Macaca fascicularis: one gene and its partners. The protein of the gene in region 1 interacts with the protein of each later gene in a biochemical or structural test. Links are inferred from orthologs where the notes say so. Each region holds a gene or a part of one and is shown in the gene's direction. Other genes may lie near its edges. The genes, in order: MYOG, CSRP3 and SRF.

Region 1 (4,854 bases):
CATCTCCCTTGTAATCTCCCCTGAGTCCCCAGCAGAGTTCCCCTTCCTCTCATTGTCCTTGCCACCGGCTTGAACTTGTCATTTTGATCTGTCATAGGATGAGGAGCAGGACAGATCAGACTTGGTCTATGGGGCCTAAGGGAAAAAACTAGGAACAAAGGGTAAAAGATAGAGGGAGAAGATTGCAGCTCAAAGCTGCACGTCAATGGAACGGGCTGTCTCCTGACGTGAGCAGAAGCTGAACAGTGGTTGCCTGGGAGGAGATTCGGTCATCAGGGGCTAGGTAGAAAGAGGTGACCACCATTGTCTACCAGATGGTAAGGTCAAGGGCAGGGACCCTGTCTGGGGTGTCCCTATAATCCCCAGCCCTAAGACTGAGCCTTGTTCACTGCTGGTGTCTGAGGTCTGCCCACTGCATTGGAAAGAATTTGTCCTCTCAGACCCTGAGGCACCTACTGAGAGGTGACCATGGCCTGAGAGGCCCGAAGATTATACAGTCCCTGCTCCACCTGACATTTGAGACCTGCATGATACATGTAAAATTGATGGCTCAGATGAAGAGGCAGAACAACCAAGCCCGATGGCCAAGGAGAGAAGAGATTTAAACTGAGTTTGAAGGGCTCTGTTTTTTCTCCTTTTTCACCCCCATCCACAGTAATGAGTCAGGAAAATTCTGGTGTTGGAAAAAGAGTTGAGGAGGTAACATAGAAGGACAGATCAATGGTCCGGAGTGAGACAGGGAGGAGACAGGGAGCTTAGTACATCTTGACCTTGCGGCTCTGGGGAAGGTGGCACGTGTAAGCTGTAAATTCTAATCTCTGCTCTGACCACGGCCGCTGTATTAAAGAGAAAATTTCTCTTGACCCCTGCCAAGAAAACCAAAACCCAAATAATTTCTCTTGCCTCAACTTACCCCCCATCACATGAGACCTAAGAGAACATACAGGTCAGAGCTGCTTGGGAACCCCAAAAGTGGAATCTATTAGCTGCTCTGAGTCTTGATCCCTTTTATCCCCGGATACTGAGTGCCCATGAATGCCCAGAATCTGAAGCAGTCCCATTCTTTCGGGAGGGAGGTCTTTAAGAGTCTCATCGACTGATGTAGTGTGGTTAAGGTGCTGTCAGGAAGCAGGGAGATGGATAAGTTGGCTCTTAAGGCCTCTTCCAGCCTAAGCCTACCCTTCCTTGTTCCCTCCTCCCCCTACACCCACCAGCTTCTTGGGGACTAGCAAGGAGAGAGCAGGCAGGCCGCCCAGCTAGGAGTAATTGAAAGGAGCAGATGAGAGGGGAATGTGTCCTCCCCCAATGCCCCTGCCCCACAGGGGCTGCTGAGAAATGAAAACTAATCAAATTACACCCGACGGCCTCCCGACCCGTGCACAGGAGCCCGCCTGGGCCAGGGACAGGCTGGCTGGGTGGGGTGGGGGCCATGGGGGAGAGAGAAGGGGAATCACATCTAATCCACTGTAAACGTCTTGATGTGCAGCAACAGCTTAGAGGGGGCTCAGGTTTCTGTGGCGTTGGCTATATTTATCTCTGGTTCCATGCCAGCGGGGAGGGTTTAAATGGCACCCAGCAGTTGGCGTGAGGGGCTGCAGGAGCTTGGGGTCTGGTGGCAGGAACAAGCCTTTTCTGACCCCATGGAGCTGTATGAGACATCCCCCTACTTCTACCAGGAACCCCGCTTCTATGACGGGGAAAACTACCTGCCTGTCCACCTCCAGGGCTTCGAGCCACCAGGCTATGAGCGGACGGAGCTCACCCTGAGCCCCGAGACCCCAGGGCCCCTCGAAGACAAGGGGCTGGGCACCCCCGAGCACTGTCCGGGCCAGTGCCTTCCGTGGGCGTGTAAGGTGTGTAAGAGGAAGTCGGTGTCCGTGGACCGGCGGCGGGCGGCCACACTGAGGGAGAAGCGCAGGCTCAAGAAGGTGAATGAGGCCTTCGAGGCCCTGAAGAGGAGCACCCTGCTCAACCCCAACCAGCGGCTGCCCAAGGTGGAGATCCTGCGCAGCGCCATCCAATACATCGAGCGCCTCCAGACCCTGCTCAGCTCCCTCAACCAGGAGGAGCGTGACCTCCGCTACCGGGGCGGGGGTGGGCCCCAGCCAGGGGTAAGTGGCCATCCCGTCCCCCTGCCCCAGGGGGAGGGGGCCAGAGGGAGGCACCTGGACAGCCTCAAGACCCCAAGAGGGGCTCAGAGGGTTGGAGCAGGTGCCAGACAGGGTCGAGGGGCTTCAGGAGCCCTTCCCTGGTCAGAGCTGGGCTATCCAGCTGACCCCCTGTGTCCTGTGTTCTTTCCAGAGGAGATAGAGGCAGTGAGGAGGAAGTGCAGAAAGGGTGGGGGTGGGGAACACAGGACTGAAGAAAGGATCAGGAGCAAGGCCACAGTCAGCCCGGGTAAGGGTGAGGATTAATCGCAGAGCCTGAGTCAGAGCCTAAAAAGCCAGGCCAAGTTCACCAGAGAAGGCTGCTTTGCCCCCTGCCCCACCCCCATCCTGGGTGTGGCTGAGCAGAGAGAAAACCCACTCAGTCTCATTGGAACTCCAGCAGGCCTGCACAGAGTGACCTTCACTGGGCCAGAAAATCTGTCTCCATCACCCTTATCACCAGAGTCAGGAGAACCAGGGACCTTTAACCTGGGGTCCTGTGAGGGCAGAACCACCACTCAGGATGGAAGCCAAGAAGGCCTGGAAGCAGGGCCTCTAGGACATGAGAGGAGCTGGTTACTAAGATTCTGGGGTTGGGGATGGCCTGGGCTGGAAGGCCACAGCCTGTGGCCCACCCTCCAACCCCACCACAGGTGCTTCTGCCCACTGGGACTAGGCAGAGAGACACATCAAAGAACGGCTGTGCCCCGACCTTGGGCCTTCGCCCTGTCTTGCAGGTGCCCAGCGAATGCAGCTCTCACAGCGCCTCCTGCAGTCCAGAGTGGGGCAGCGCACTGGAGTTCGGCGCCAACCCCGGGGGTAAGTGAGGCTTGACCCTGGTAACCTTGACTCCAATCCCTCAGTCCCTCCCTGGGCGTTCTTCCCTCTTACCTTATTCCTTGCTCCGGTCCTCTTCCCTTGGGTCTCTCCAGGGACCTGCTGACTCCAGGACCCAAAGGGTGGGCTGGGAGGTTCTGTGTAGCCCTGCAGTCTTGACCAGCAAAGGAGTGATAGTGGCTCCTGCAGCTCCCCAGCTGATGCCTGGTGGTTGACCTTCTCCACAGAGAGGACAATGTCCCTGCCCCAGGGGTCTCTGCGAAGTGCTGAGTCAGTGCTGCAAAACCGGGCCGAGCAAAGGGCAGGTCCAGTCTCTGGGGAGCTCCATCCTGCTCCAACTTGAGTGACTGCTTCCAAACCCTACCTCACTAGGGGAGTTCAGAGAAGAGGCGCGCGCGCGCACACACACACACACACACACACACACACACACACACACACAGCATGGGGAAAGGCAGGGACTAGGGAGTAGAACTCCGGAGCTTTATCCCCCATCTGTCCTGGAAAACCTGTGTCACCCCAAGGGTCCCATCCTCTATTCTGGGCCTCAAGAACCCCCACTCCTCACCCAGGTACCACCTTCCCACCTCCCCTTACAGATCATCTGCTCACGGCTGACCCTACAGATGCCCACAACCTGCACTCCCTCACCTCCATCGTGGACAGCATCACAGTGGAAGATGTGTCTGTGGCCTTCCCAGATGAAACCATGCCCAACTGAGATTGTCTGCCAAGCCAGGCATCCTTGCAAGCCCCCCAAGCTGACCACAGATGCCACTGCTTCTGTAGCAGGGGCCTCCTAAGCCAGGCTGCCCTGATGCTAGGAAGCCAGCTCTGGGGTGCCATAGGCCAGACTATCCCCTTCCTCATCCATGTAAGGTTAACCCACCCCCCAGCAAGGTACTGGATGCCCTCATTCAGCTGCCTCCTTAGAGGACAGGGCATCCCCTTTCCAGGAAGGTAAAGCAGGGGACCAGAGCGCCCCCTCATGTATGCCCCAGTTCAGGGGGCAAACTCAGGAGTTTCCTTTTTATCATAACATGGCCTCTAATTCCACCCCCTAAGTGAAACAGTTTGAGAGACACAGACAGTGTCCTGACCTGGACAAGCTGTGCACGTCTCCTGTTCTGGTCTCTTCCCGATGCCAGTGGCTGGGCTGGGCCTGCCCTGAATTGAGAGAAAAGAAAGGGAGAGAAACAATCCTCTGTTCCCAAGTCCCTGGGGGGCCAAACTTTTGCAGTGAATATTGGGAACCTTCCAGTGGTTTTATGTTTTGTTTTGTTTTGTGTGTTGTTTGTAAAGCTGCCATCTGACCAAGGTCTCCTGTGCTGAAGTTGCCGGGGACAGGCAGGGAAAGGGGGTTGGGGGCTCTTGGGGGTGATTTCTTTTGTTAACTAAGCATCGTGTGGTTTTGCCATTGTTTTGTATTTTTTTTTTTTTTTTTGCTAACTTATTTGGATTTCCTTTTTTAAAAAATGAATAAAGACTGGTTGCCAGAAGAGTGTCGGTGATGATGCAGAGGGAGGGAAATGACTGACAGCCCTGCCCTCTCCCACTGAGCAGTCCAGACACACCCTAGTGGGCGGGGCTCCACAGCGCTGAGGGCCTCATCTTGCTGGTGGTCACTAGGCACTGGGGACCCCGGCTCTTTTCACCATGAGGAAGGAAGTCGAGCATGTCTAGACCTCAGTCTAGGTGGAGACCAGATTCCACAGACATCCTTGTGGGACACGGAGGACAACTGGCTAGGACTATACTTCACAGCCATTGCTCACAGGCTGCTGTGCTCTGCGTCATGTCCCAACAGGTCCTCCGGTTTCAGTTAACTGAGCAATTCGTGAGCCCAGTGCTCAGCCTACAGCCAGGGTGC
Region 2 (4,799 bases), on another chromosome or scaffold:
GTGCCATGGTGGTTTCTGCACCGATTGATCCATCCTGTAAGTTCCCTCCCCTCACCCATCCCCCACCCCACAACAGGCCCTGGAGTGTGATGTTCCCCTCTCTGTGTCCATGTGTTCTCATTATTCAACTCCCACTTACGAGTGGAAGCTCCTCTTTTATCTGCTTTATATACTGATGTTCCTCTTAAGATTATCTACAGAAAAAAGTATTCTAATGCAAACACGCACACAAAAAAAATTTTAAAGCTACTATTGGTTGGCCAGGTACAGTGGCTCAAGCCTGTAATCTCAGCACGTTGAGACGTAGGCAGATCACTTGAACCCAAAGTTCGAGACCAGCCTGGGCAAAATGGTGAAACCACATCCCTACAAAAAAATTACCCAGGAGTGCTAGTGTGTGACTGTAGTCCCAACTACTTGGGAGGCTGAGATGGGAGGATTGCTTGAGCCCAGGATGTGGAGGCTGCAGTGAGCTGTGATCATGCCACTGCACTCTAGCTTAGGTGGCAGAACGAGATCCTTTCTCTAAACAAAGAAACAAACAAACAAATAAAAGCCACTATCCTAGACGATTTCTAAAGTCCTTTGTAGCTTTAACTTTCTAAGATCCTCATGATTGCCTCGTCTCTATGATGAAGATGCCATTCAGTGAAAACACAGACCGAGGATATCTCATAGGAGCCTATACCACGGCTGTCTTTGTGAAATTGCCACAACCTTCTTGACAGTGAAATATTCTGTCATTCAACCAATTGCTTTGTGAGCAGGTAACTGAAGGGCTAATATTGGGTGTGAGGGCTGGATCATAAACCTCCAGGTTGGGTTCTACATGCACCTTACCTCAACATCCGGGTCAACACGAGTGAAAGGTGCTCGGTGCCTCAGTTTCCTCATCTATAACACGAAGAATTGGTCTTCACATCTCTGAACCTCTTGTCAGCTTTTCAATGCTATAATTTATATCAGTCCCTGGTGCTTGATCAAATCTAAACTGTGTGAATTCCAGGCAAAGAGAAATTAGACCTCCAAAGAAAATATGGGTCTACAGAGACATGTCGAGACGTTATAAATATAATGTGATGATGATAAATATGCACTGCTGTGTCACATTCTTAAACAGAAAAAGACAATAACAAAGTAACTCAAAACTTTTTAGAGAAAATTTCGTTTCCTAGGATAGATGGAGCAACAGGTTCCAAGTGATGTGCCAACCTTTTTTTCCCCAAGCTTCTTTGAAGAGATTATCTAAGTATCGTTTCAGACACCCATCACCCTTATTTTTAGCTCTGAGTTCTCTTCACGAGTGTGGTGACCTGGGGCTCTGAGTTCCAGAGGCTCCCAGATATGGCACATGACTCATTTGGAGGTACCTTGCATTGATTTCCAGGAAGGTCAGTGGGGTGGGGGCCTGGAGAAATGATTTTCAGTGTTAAACCCCTAGCTCTTGTTCCTGTTCCAACCACTTGATCAGAAATGACACACTTCATAAATTGATCCCTTGGTGCCATAAGCAATTGGCAGTGAAAATAGAACCCAAGTGATATGGTTCTCCAAGAGGCTCACAGCTGGCTGGGGGGTTGGGGGAGACAAAACTCAGGGCTTTGGTCACAGGCTATTTTCAGCCTCTGATAGCAGTTGTGTTACTCACGTCTCATTCACCCTCTCCCTCGGCCTCCCTCCTGCCCTTCCTCCAGCAGGCCAAGGCTGGTGACAGCCTTCATATATTTAAAGAGGACAAGAGCCCCTCAGACTCAGTTGAGCTGAACGGAAACTACACAGGCAGGTGAGTGGAGCGAGATAGACATTCGGGCTGGAGGTGGGTTGGTTCTGTGGCTGGTTTGGACTGCAAAGGGTCCTATAGAGTAAGGGCACATCTCACACCTCAAGCGCCAGCACCCTGTCTGGTTCTGTGCAAGGAGATTCAAGTTGTGCTTGACTCTGGTGTGGACCTAGCAGGTAGTAAAAAATTCCTGCAAGGATGGTTAATATTTGGGGGGCTTAAGGGACCTCACAGGCAGATAAATGAGTAAGGGGTTATTCTCATTATAAAATTACTTATGTGGTGGAATTACGTTTCCTGTCGTCGTTGTTGAAACAACTGGAAAGCGGGAGGAAATAATGCAAAGTCTGCTGACCTTCTAGTCCTACAACCACCACATAATTCGTGGATGACAGACTTTGAGAAGGTTCCTGCCCTCTGGGGCTTGGTCTCCCCTTCTGCAAGGATCAATATAAATTGGCGACGTTTTTCCTAACTGTAAAGTACTGCACAGATACAAAGCGATAAGCGATTGTACTAGATGCAATATATCAGACAGCTTTCCCATGCTCAAATTAGCTGGAATTGTGTTATTCAAAAGGTCATGGTGAATGACTGAGATTTTGGGCTTGTTGATTTTAAATCGATTTTTGTATCCCAAAGATGTTCAGCAACAAATTTGCTTTTAATCATTTGAAATTAATCAAAACTGGACCCCAAAAAGACATTGCTATGTTGAAATATATTAAAAGCTCTATTAAATGGGAGGGATAGTTCAGCCAGTGGTCAGGATTCCCATTGTTTCCTCTAGGTTTTAGTCAAGGACTTTTTAAAATATCCCAGTGAATGACAGACATAGGTGTGACTGAGAATAAGAAGTGGTATTAAGCAATGGTCTGAGTGGAAATGCTGCTGAAAGATCCAAGCTGCTGCCTCTAACTTCTGCCCTGTTCCTTAACCAAGGTGCTGACTCCTCCAAGAAGGAGGACTTGAGTTACTGGTCTGAGGAACCTTGTCTCTGCTATACAATTCAATGTAATTTAATAAGCATGTATGGATCATCTCCTATGTCAGGGCTGGAGGGAGGTAGAGGCAGCTCTATGCAGGGAAGGGTGAACATAAACAGCAAGAAGAGTGGGGAATTGGGGATGGCCTGTGTCCTCAGTTTATATCTGGGATTGAATCTCAATGCTGGGTACATCCAATTCATCACAATGCATGTAGAACTGCTTTCCAACCCAGAAAATGTGAGGGCGTCTTCTAACTTGGCTTTGGTCCCTTTCTGAACAACTTGGTCGTTTGTGGTCGGTGGCAATGAGCCCAGGCTATTGGGCAGGAGGTAGCTGAGTCCCTGGGGTTCAGGCAGACAGGTGCTCTGCAGCCCAGACACATATGTCATCCATCAGACAGAAGAGACACAGGGCAGTGGGCAAGGAAGAGAGGGAGGGAAGGAGAGAAGGAGGGAAGGAAAGAGAAAAGGAGGGAGGGCGGAAGGGAGAAAGAGAGGAGGGAAGGAAGAGGGAGCCGCAGCAGCATTCAGCCGTCAAATAGCCAAAATCCCCTTGGAGGAAGTGGAGACAGAATCTTGATAGAATACAAACTCAGAAATCCTGGGAACTTCAAGAAGAAAATAAAGATAATTGGTTATAGAGCCAGTTCAAATTATAGCTCTGAATATCACTTAACTTCTCTGAGTTTCCATTTTCTGAACAATAAAATTAAGGATAGGCTATCTCTATCAAAGGAATGTGTAAGAATTGAATGAGATAAAGTACAGGAGAGTACTTTTGTGAAGTTTAATATAACCGTACAATTATGTGAGGCCGTTGAGAAAAGGCATACAGCCAAACCCAATGGGTTTTGGGAGGGTTTCCTGCTAAGTACAAGCGTGCTGATAAAAGTCCAGAGGTCAGAGTGGGTAAGAAGCTGACCAGGAGTTAGAAGATAATTAATTTGTTTTACAAGAGGAAAGACCCAGAGCTAGGAATATAATACACAGCAAATACAAGTCCCGAGGCAGGCAGATTTCCAGTTACAAGTGTGCTGTTCAGATATCTGTGAATAAATACTGTATAGAGGGCTGGGCTTCATAGTCAAAGAGAAATGTGATGCCTGCAAATGTGAAAAACTGCAGTTATTCATCCCAGTGAAGAATGGCAGGAAGGGAGACAGTAATGATCTTGAAGGGCATGGAGGATGGAGCCTTTTCTGAGCTTTACGGTGGGAAAGGGTTGATCATGAGCTGATGGTTGTTTCTGGCCCTGGGCAGGTGTGGAACAAGTACTGCCTTACTTAGGGGTCACAAAAAGTTCTGCAAAACTCATTTTTCAGAGGAAGAAACTAAAGTTCAAGAAAGCGTAGGAATTGCCCAGCATCACACGGCCGAGAAAGCGGCAGAGCCAGGAGGTAAACTGGGATATGATGTGATCTTTAAAAATAAATTGTGGAGGTCAAAATAGGACAAAGAGTGAGTTTTGGGGAGTAAAAGTTGGCCACACTTCAGATGTAATTTCAGAAAAGGTGTAAGATGCCCATGTTCTACAGCCTTCATTTAATGTGTGTCTACCATGTCTGAGTTTAAAAGGGGGTGAGAGCCAACAGTCGGATTTATTTCCATGCTGGCAATGAGCAACCTGTGCTTCCTGGGCTCTGTAAAAGGGCCTCTGGCTGGAGGACGTCATATATCTGGGTTCAGAAGCTCAGGAGGAAGCAGCCACTGACCTTGAATGTCCTACACCGAGAACTGAAGGGCATGAGCTTCCCTGGGCCACAGGGCTCCTGGCTGGGCATGCTGCCTCCAACCCAATCCAACAATGCAAGGGGGCCGGCCGACTCTCACCCTGAACTGGGCACACCTGTCCCGGGTCATGGCACACTCCGAAGGCTGAAAAACAAACCTGATTCACAGTCTGAACCAGAAGAGCCATGGAGAACAAGCAGGGAGTGAGTTGTTTATTCTAACAGAACGGACTTGAAAACTGGAGATAGAGTAATAAAAACAATAACAGTCATGATGCAAGTAACTACAATTATTCAATTC
Region 3 (4,601 bases), on another chromosome or scaffold:
TATTGCGTTTGGAGTGATCAGATCACTTGTCACTTGTTTCCAGGCACAGGGCTTACCAAGAGGCAGATTCCAGATTTAAATAATTCGGTAACAGCAAAGTCCATGCTATTTTCACTGCTTTGGAGAAAAGATCCAGACCCAGAGCTTGAACCTCACTTTGCAGCACCCCAGTTCTATTCTTTAAGTAATTTTTTTTTTTTTTTCTGCCAGGCACAGTGGTTCATGCCTATAATCCCGGCACTTTGGGAAGCCGAGGGTGAAGGATAGCTTGATGCCAGGAGTTCGAGACCAGTCTGGGCAACATGGCAAAACCCCATCTCTACAAAAAATACAAAAATTAGGCCCGAGTGGTGGCGCGCACCTGTAGTCCCAGCTACGTGAGAGGCAGAGGTGGGAGAATCGCTTGAACCCGGGAGGCGGAGGTTGCAATGAGCTCAGATCACACCACTGCACTCCAGGTTGGGCGACTGAGCGATACCCTGTCTGAAACTTTTTTTTTCTTTCTCCAACGGGCTTTCCAGAGAAGGGTGTGTAGGTGCGTGTGTGTGCGTGAGCGTGCTTGCTTGCATAAACTTTCTGTCGGGCCACAATTTCCCGTCTTTGCACTGGCTGTAGGGTGGGCTTTATCCTCGGGACGCCCCCCTCCCCCAGCCCAGCCTGCAGCTGGAAGTCTTCAATGATCTCCGTCTCTCCTCCCTGCCCGCCTCGGGACTGGGAGACCGATCTCTGTCTCTCGCCCTCCCCTCCACCCGCCTTTTCCAGATGTATGTCTGCCAAAGACCCCCCAGTGCAGAGGATGATGAATGAGGACCCGCGAGCCAGCCTGGTGGGAAAGTGTCGTCGCCTACAAAAGCAAGGGAAAGGGAGGGGAAGTTGGGGGGAGGGGAAAAGTTAGAGCTGAGCGGCTGGGGTGCTACGAGTCTGGACACCGGGGATCCAAGCTCCCTCCGCTCAGCCAATAACTGTGCCTCCCTTAGGAAGGCGTGAGGAAATGCTCCAATCAATCCCTGCACTCCTCCCTTGGAATTTGGGCTGTATTTTTTTAATTGACTGCAAACCCCACAATCCACCTAGGGGTTTCCCCAGTGTTTGTCTCCAGCGGTCCCGGTGCTGGAGCCCATTTCCTAGTGCTGCTCCCTCTCTTCCGCAAGACTGCGCTCCAGTCCCAGGCTACTTCTCCGCGGGTGCTTCCCAAACCGTTCTATCATTCTCGGGTTCAGGGAGGCGGAGTCGCGCCTGCTCTCCGGTTCCTTTAAGAGGCGTCGGCTCCACCCCTCTCGGAGTCGCGGTCTGACGCGAGAGGACAGGAACGAGTTTGGTATGTCTATGCAAATAAGCGCTCCCCTGCGGGCCAATGGGGAGCGGAGGTGCCGGAACCATGGACCAATGGGGCGGGGGCGCTGGGGCTCACCATATAAGGAGCGGCCTCGCCATAAAAGGAAACATTGTATCTCTTTATATGGGGGGAAGGGTCGGGGGATCCCTCCGCCGCCAGCGCGTGGTCCCGGCCCCCTCCACCCGCCGTCTCGGCCGCGGCCAGCAGCCCCTGCCCCCCGGGGGACGCTGAAGGCCGCCGGGCGCGCCGCCCTAGCAGACGGACAGGGGGCGCTGCGCGCGGCCTGGGGCAACCCGGGCCACAGGGGCAGGAAAGTGAGGGCCCAGGTCGGCCCGGGCGTGCAGGGGCCCCGGGTTCGCAGCGGCTGCCGCGGCAGCGATAGCGGCACTAGCAGCAGCGGGAGTGCCGGGTTGAGCCGGGAAGCCGATGGCGGCGGCTGCGGCTCCGATTCCTCGCTGACTGCCCGTCCGCCCTCCTGCATCGAGCGCCATGTTACCGAGCCAAGCTGGGGCCGCGGCGGCTCTGGGCCGGGGCTCGGCCCTGGGGGGCAGCCTGAACCGGACCCCGACGGGGCGGCCGGGCAGCGGCGGCGGGACTCGTGGGGCTAACGGGGGCCGGGTCCCCGGGAATGGCGCGGGGCTCGGGCCCGGCCGCCTGGAGCGGGAGGCTGCGGCAGCGGCGGCAACCACCCCGGCGCCCACCGCGGGGGCCCTCTACAGCGGCAGCGAGGGCGACTCGGAGTCGGGCGAGGAGGAGGAGCTGGGCGCCGAGCGGCGCGGCATGAAGCGGAGCCTGAGCGAGATGGAGATCGGTATGGTGGTCGGTGGGCCCGAGGCGTCGGCGGCGGCCACCGGGGGCTACGGGCCGGTGAGCGGCGCGGTGAGCGGGGCCAAGCCGGGTAAGAAGACCCGGGGCCGCGTGAAGATCAAGATGGAGTTCATCGACAACAAGCTGCGGCGCTACACGACCTTCAGCAAGAGGAAGACGGGCATCATGAAGAAGGTACCAAGCCGGCGGGCTGGCTGGCCCCGGGGCCCGGGAAGGGTGGGGATGCGCAAGGGGAGCCCGGGAGGACGGCAGAGCCGAGGCGGAGGTGAGAGGCGGCGAGTCCGCAGGAGGTGTGTGGGAGGGGATGGCTCCTACCCGGGGAGGGCCGAAGGGGAGGGGCCGCCGGGGAAATGTGGGGAGAGGGGAGATCCCGCGAACGCCGGGAACCTTGGGGAAAGGCGCAGAGGTGGGAGTGACCGGCGCGAGAGAGGAAGGAGGGCCCTTGTTGAGTGGAGGTTTGAGGAGCGGTCATGGGAGGCTGCGAGGCTGCCGGGGAGGTGAATAATGAGAAGCCGGGATCAGTAGGTCCAGTGCACTCCGGTGTTTGGAGGAGGGCGCTGGAAAAGCAGGGAGCAAACGAGAAGGTATGGAGGTGAGGAGGCTGGAGCTGCATGACAACAATGAGCGAGCATGTGTGGGAGGAAATGGGCACCACGAGAGTAGTGCTGGTTGGAAGGACAGGCAGGGTTAGGGACCAGGTAAGGGAGCGGGGCAGGAGAACTGGTGCTGCCCTGAGCAGCAGGAACCTAGTCCCGCGCCGGCCGTGAGTGTTCCATGGCATCCGCTGGGAACCACATGCTGCTCCTGGCAGGACCCGCTGCAGAATCTCCTGCCGTTAGGACAAGTGGGGTTTCCAGCCCTAGGGAGAATCTATGCATGGATGGGGTTTGGGGGAAATCGGGGAGGCTTGCAGAGGTACCTAGGAATTCCTCTTCTGCCAGCCAGTGAAAAGTGGTGAGGAAAAGAGTCATTTTGGGGTGTAGATGATAAGGGAAGGGATGAAAGCAGAAGAATTGGGAGACAAGTAGCTGGATCCTTGGGAACATTGGCTGGTGTTTATTTCTGTCCCATGTAGAAACCAGAGCTGCTTCCAAGGTGGTTCGTAGAACTTTGTTGGGAGAGTATGGCATCTGTGGGGCCATCCTTGAAGGTCCCCTTCCTGGGCTCATGGCAGGATGTTTAGTGCTAATCTAGGTCTCGTCTCCCCTCACTCTAGACACTGTTGTATCAATGTCCCTTGTCACTTGATCATCAGTGGAGAAGGTTGTGGGGGGAGGTAGTTAATGAAGGAAAATTCTCTTCTCCCCTTCCATAACCTTCTTCCCAAGACAAAGTAAAAAAGGCAGTAAAGTATTACAGGACAACAGGAGAAACTAGGCTATGGCAACAAGTTGGAGCCTGTGCAGTTTCTGGAAAGAAACATGGGACAGTTGGAGCTTAAGTGGTCCCTTATCACTAATGTGCAAATTCCAGTGTGATAGGTAGGGATCCATCCTGGTCCCTGTGACAGTGAGAATGGTTGAGGCTCCGGGACTTTCCAGGCACTAAGCTGCGTTGGGGAGCAGCTATAGCTGAGTCCTTCCGTATCCCCTGAGGTTATATGTTCCATCACTGGGAGGCTATTACTGTTTGCTTGGGGTATCTTCAGGTCAATGGGGCTGCTCCTCAAAGGAGGAGCATTGGTAGTTTTGCTGCTTCCAGAGATCCTGATAGGACACCCTGCCCCCAGAATCACTAGAGACGAAGGTCATTATGGGAATGGGGGAATGACATCACTATATAATTCTTTTTCCAACTTCTCAAAGAAGGTAGAGATAAAAAGTTTGCTGACCTGCCCATCTCCGTCCTCACCCCTCAGGCCTATGAGCTGTCCACGCTGACAGGGACACAGGTGCTGTTGCTGGTGGCCAGTGAGACAGGCCATGTGTATACCTTTGCCACACGAAAACTGCAGCCCATGATCACCAGTGAGACCGGCAAGGCACTGATTCAGACCTGCCTCAACTCTCCAGACTCTCCACCCCGCTCAGACCCCACAACAGACCAGAGAATGAGTGCCACTGGCTTTGAAGAGACAGATCTCACCTACCAGGTGTCGGAGTCTGACAGCAGTGGGGAGACCAAGGTGTGTTTGGGTTGCCTATGTGAGAGGAGGGAAGGGAGGGGGGTCCCTCTCTCTTTCTGGCCCAGGGCAGGTGGATAGGTACCCACTGATGTGGAGTGGAGCCTGATTAACGACCCTTGTCCTAGGGGACAGGTGTCCATCCTCACTTTCCTGATAGAAGACCGGCCCCCTAGATAAGCGGGCGGCCTCCGTGCCCATATAAGGCCGGCTCGGGCTCCACGCCGGCCTCCCGCCCGCAGCCCGCCTGCCTGGCAGGGCCTTTGCATTCCTCCCGCCAGCTGTCTCCCCGCTAGGGGCGGGGGTGTAGCTTAG

The links.
Region 2: the proteins of MYOG (region 1) and CSRP3 form a complex in vitro, tested with the Homo sapiens proteins (2 studies listed by BioGRID and IntAct, with this or other methods). The link is inferred for Macaca fascicularis from reciprocal best matches to the Homo sapiens genes MYOG and CSRP3.
Region 3: the proteins of MYOG (region 1) and SRF form a complex in vitro, tested with the Homo sapiens proteins (2 studies listed by BioGRID and IntAct). The link is inferred for Macaca fascicularis from reciprocal best matches to the Homo sapiens genes MYOG and SRF.

The regions. Positions count from the first base shown.
Region 1 is NC_088375.1:60,895,955-60,900,808, reverse strand, and holds MYOG (myogenin), read left to right. Parts: upstream 1-1,588; 5' UTR 1,589-1,640; coding exon 1,641-2,111; intron 2,112-2,884; coding exon 2,885-2,966; intron 2,967-3,038; exon of another isoform or gene 3,039-3,209; intron 3,210-3,556; coding exon 3,557-3,705; 3' UTR 3,706-4,480; downstream 4,481-4,854. UniProt on the Homo sapiens protein: Acts as a transcriptional activator that promotes transcription of muscle-specific target genes and plays a role in muscle differentiation, cell cycle exit and muscle atrophy.
Region 2 is NC_088388.1:46,508,949-46,513,747, forward strand, and holds the start of CSRP3 (cysteine and glycine-rich protein 3), read left to right. Parts: upstream 1-1,753; 5' UTR 1,754-1,783; intron 1,784-4,020; exon of another isoform or gene 4,021-4,165; intron 4,166-4,799. UniProt on the Homo sapiens protein: Positive regulator of myogenesis. Acts as a cofactor for myogenic bHLH transcription factors such as MYOD1, and probably MYOG and MYF6.
Region 3 is NC_088378.1:128,359,670-128,364,270, reverse strand, and holds the start of SRF (serum response factor), read left to right. Parts: upstream 1-1,439; 5' UTR 1,440-1,825; coding exon 1,826-2,338; intron 2,339-2,566; exon of another isoform or gene 2,567-2,634; coding exon of another isoform or gene 2,635-2,748; intron 2,749-4,022; coding exon 4,023-4,289; intron 4,290-4,601. UniProt on the Homo sapiens protein: SRF is a transcription factor that binds to the serum response element (SRE), a short sequence of dyad symmetry located 300 bp to the 5' of the site of transcription initiation of some genes (such as FOS).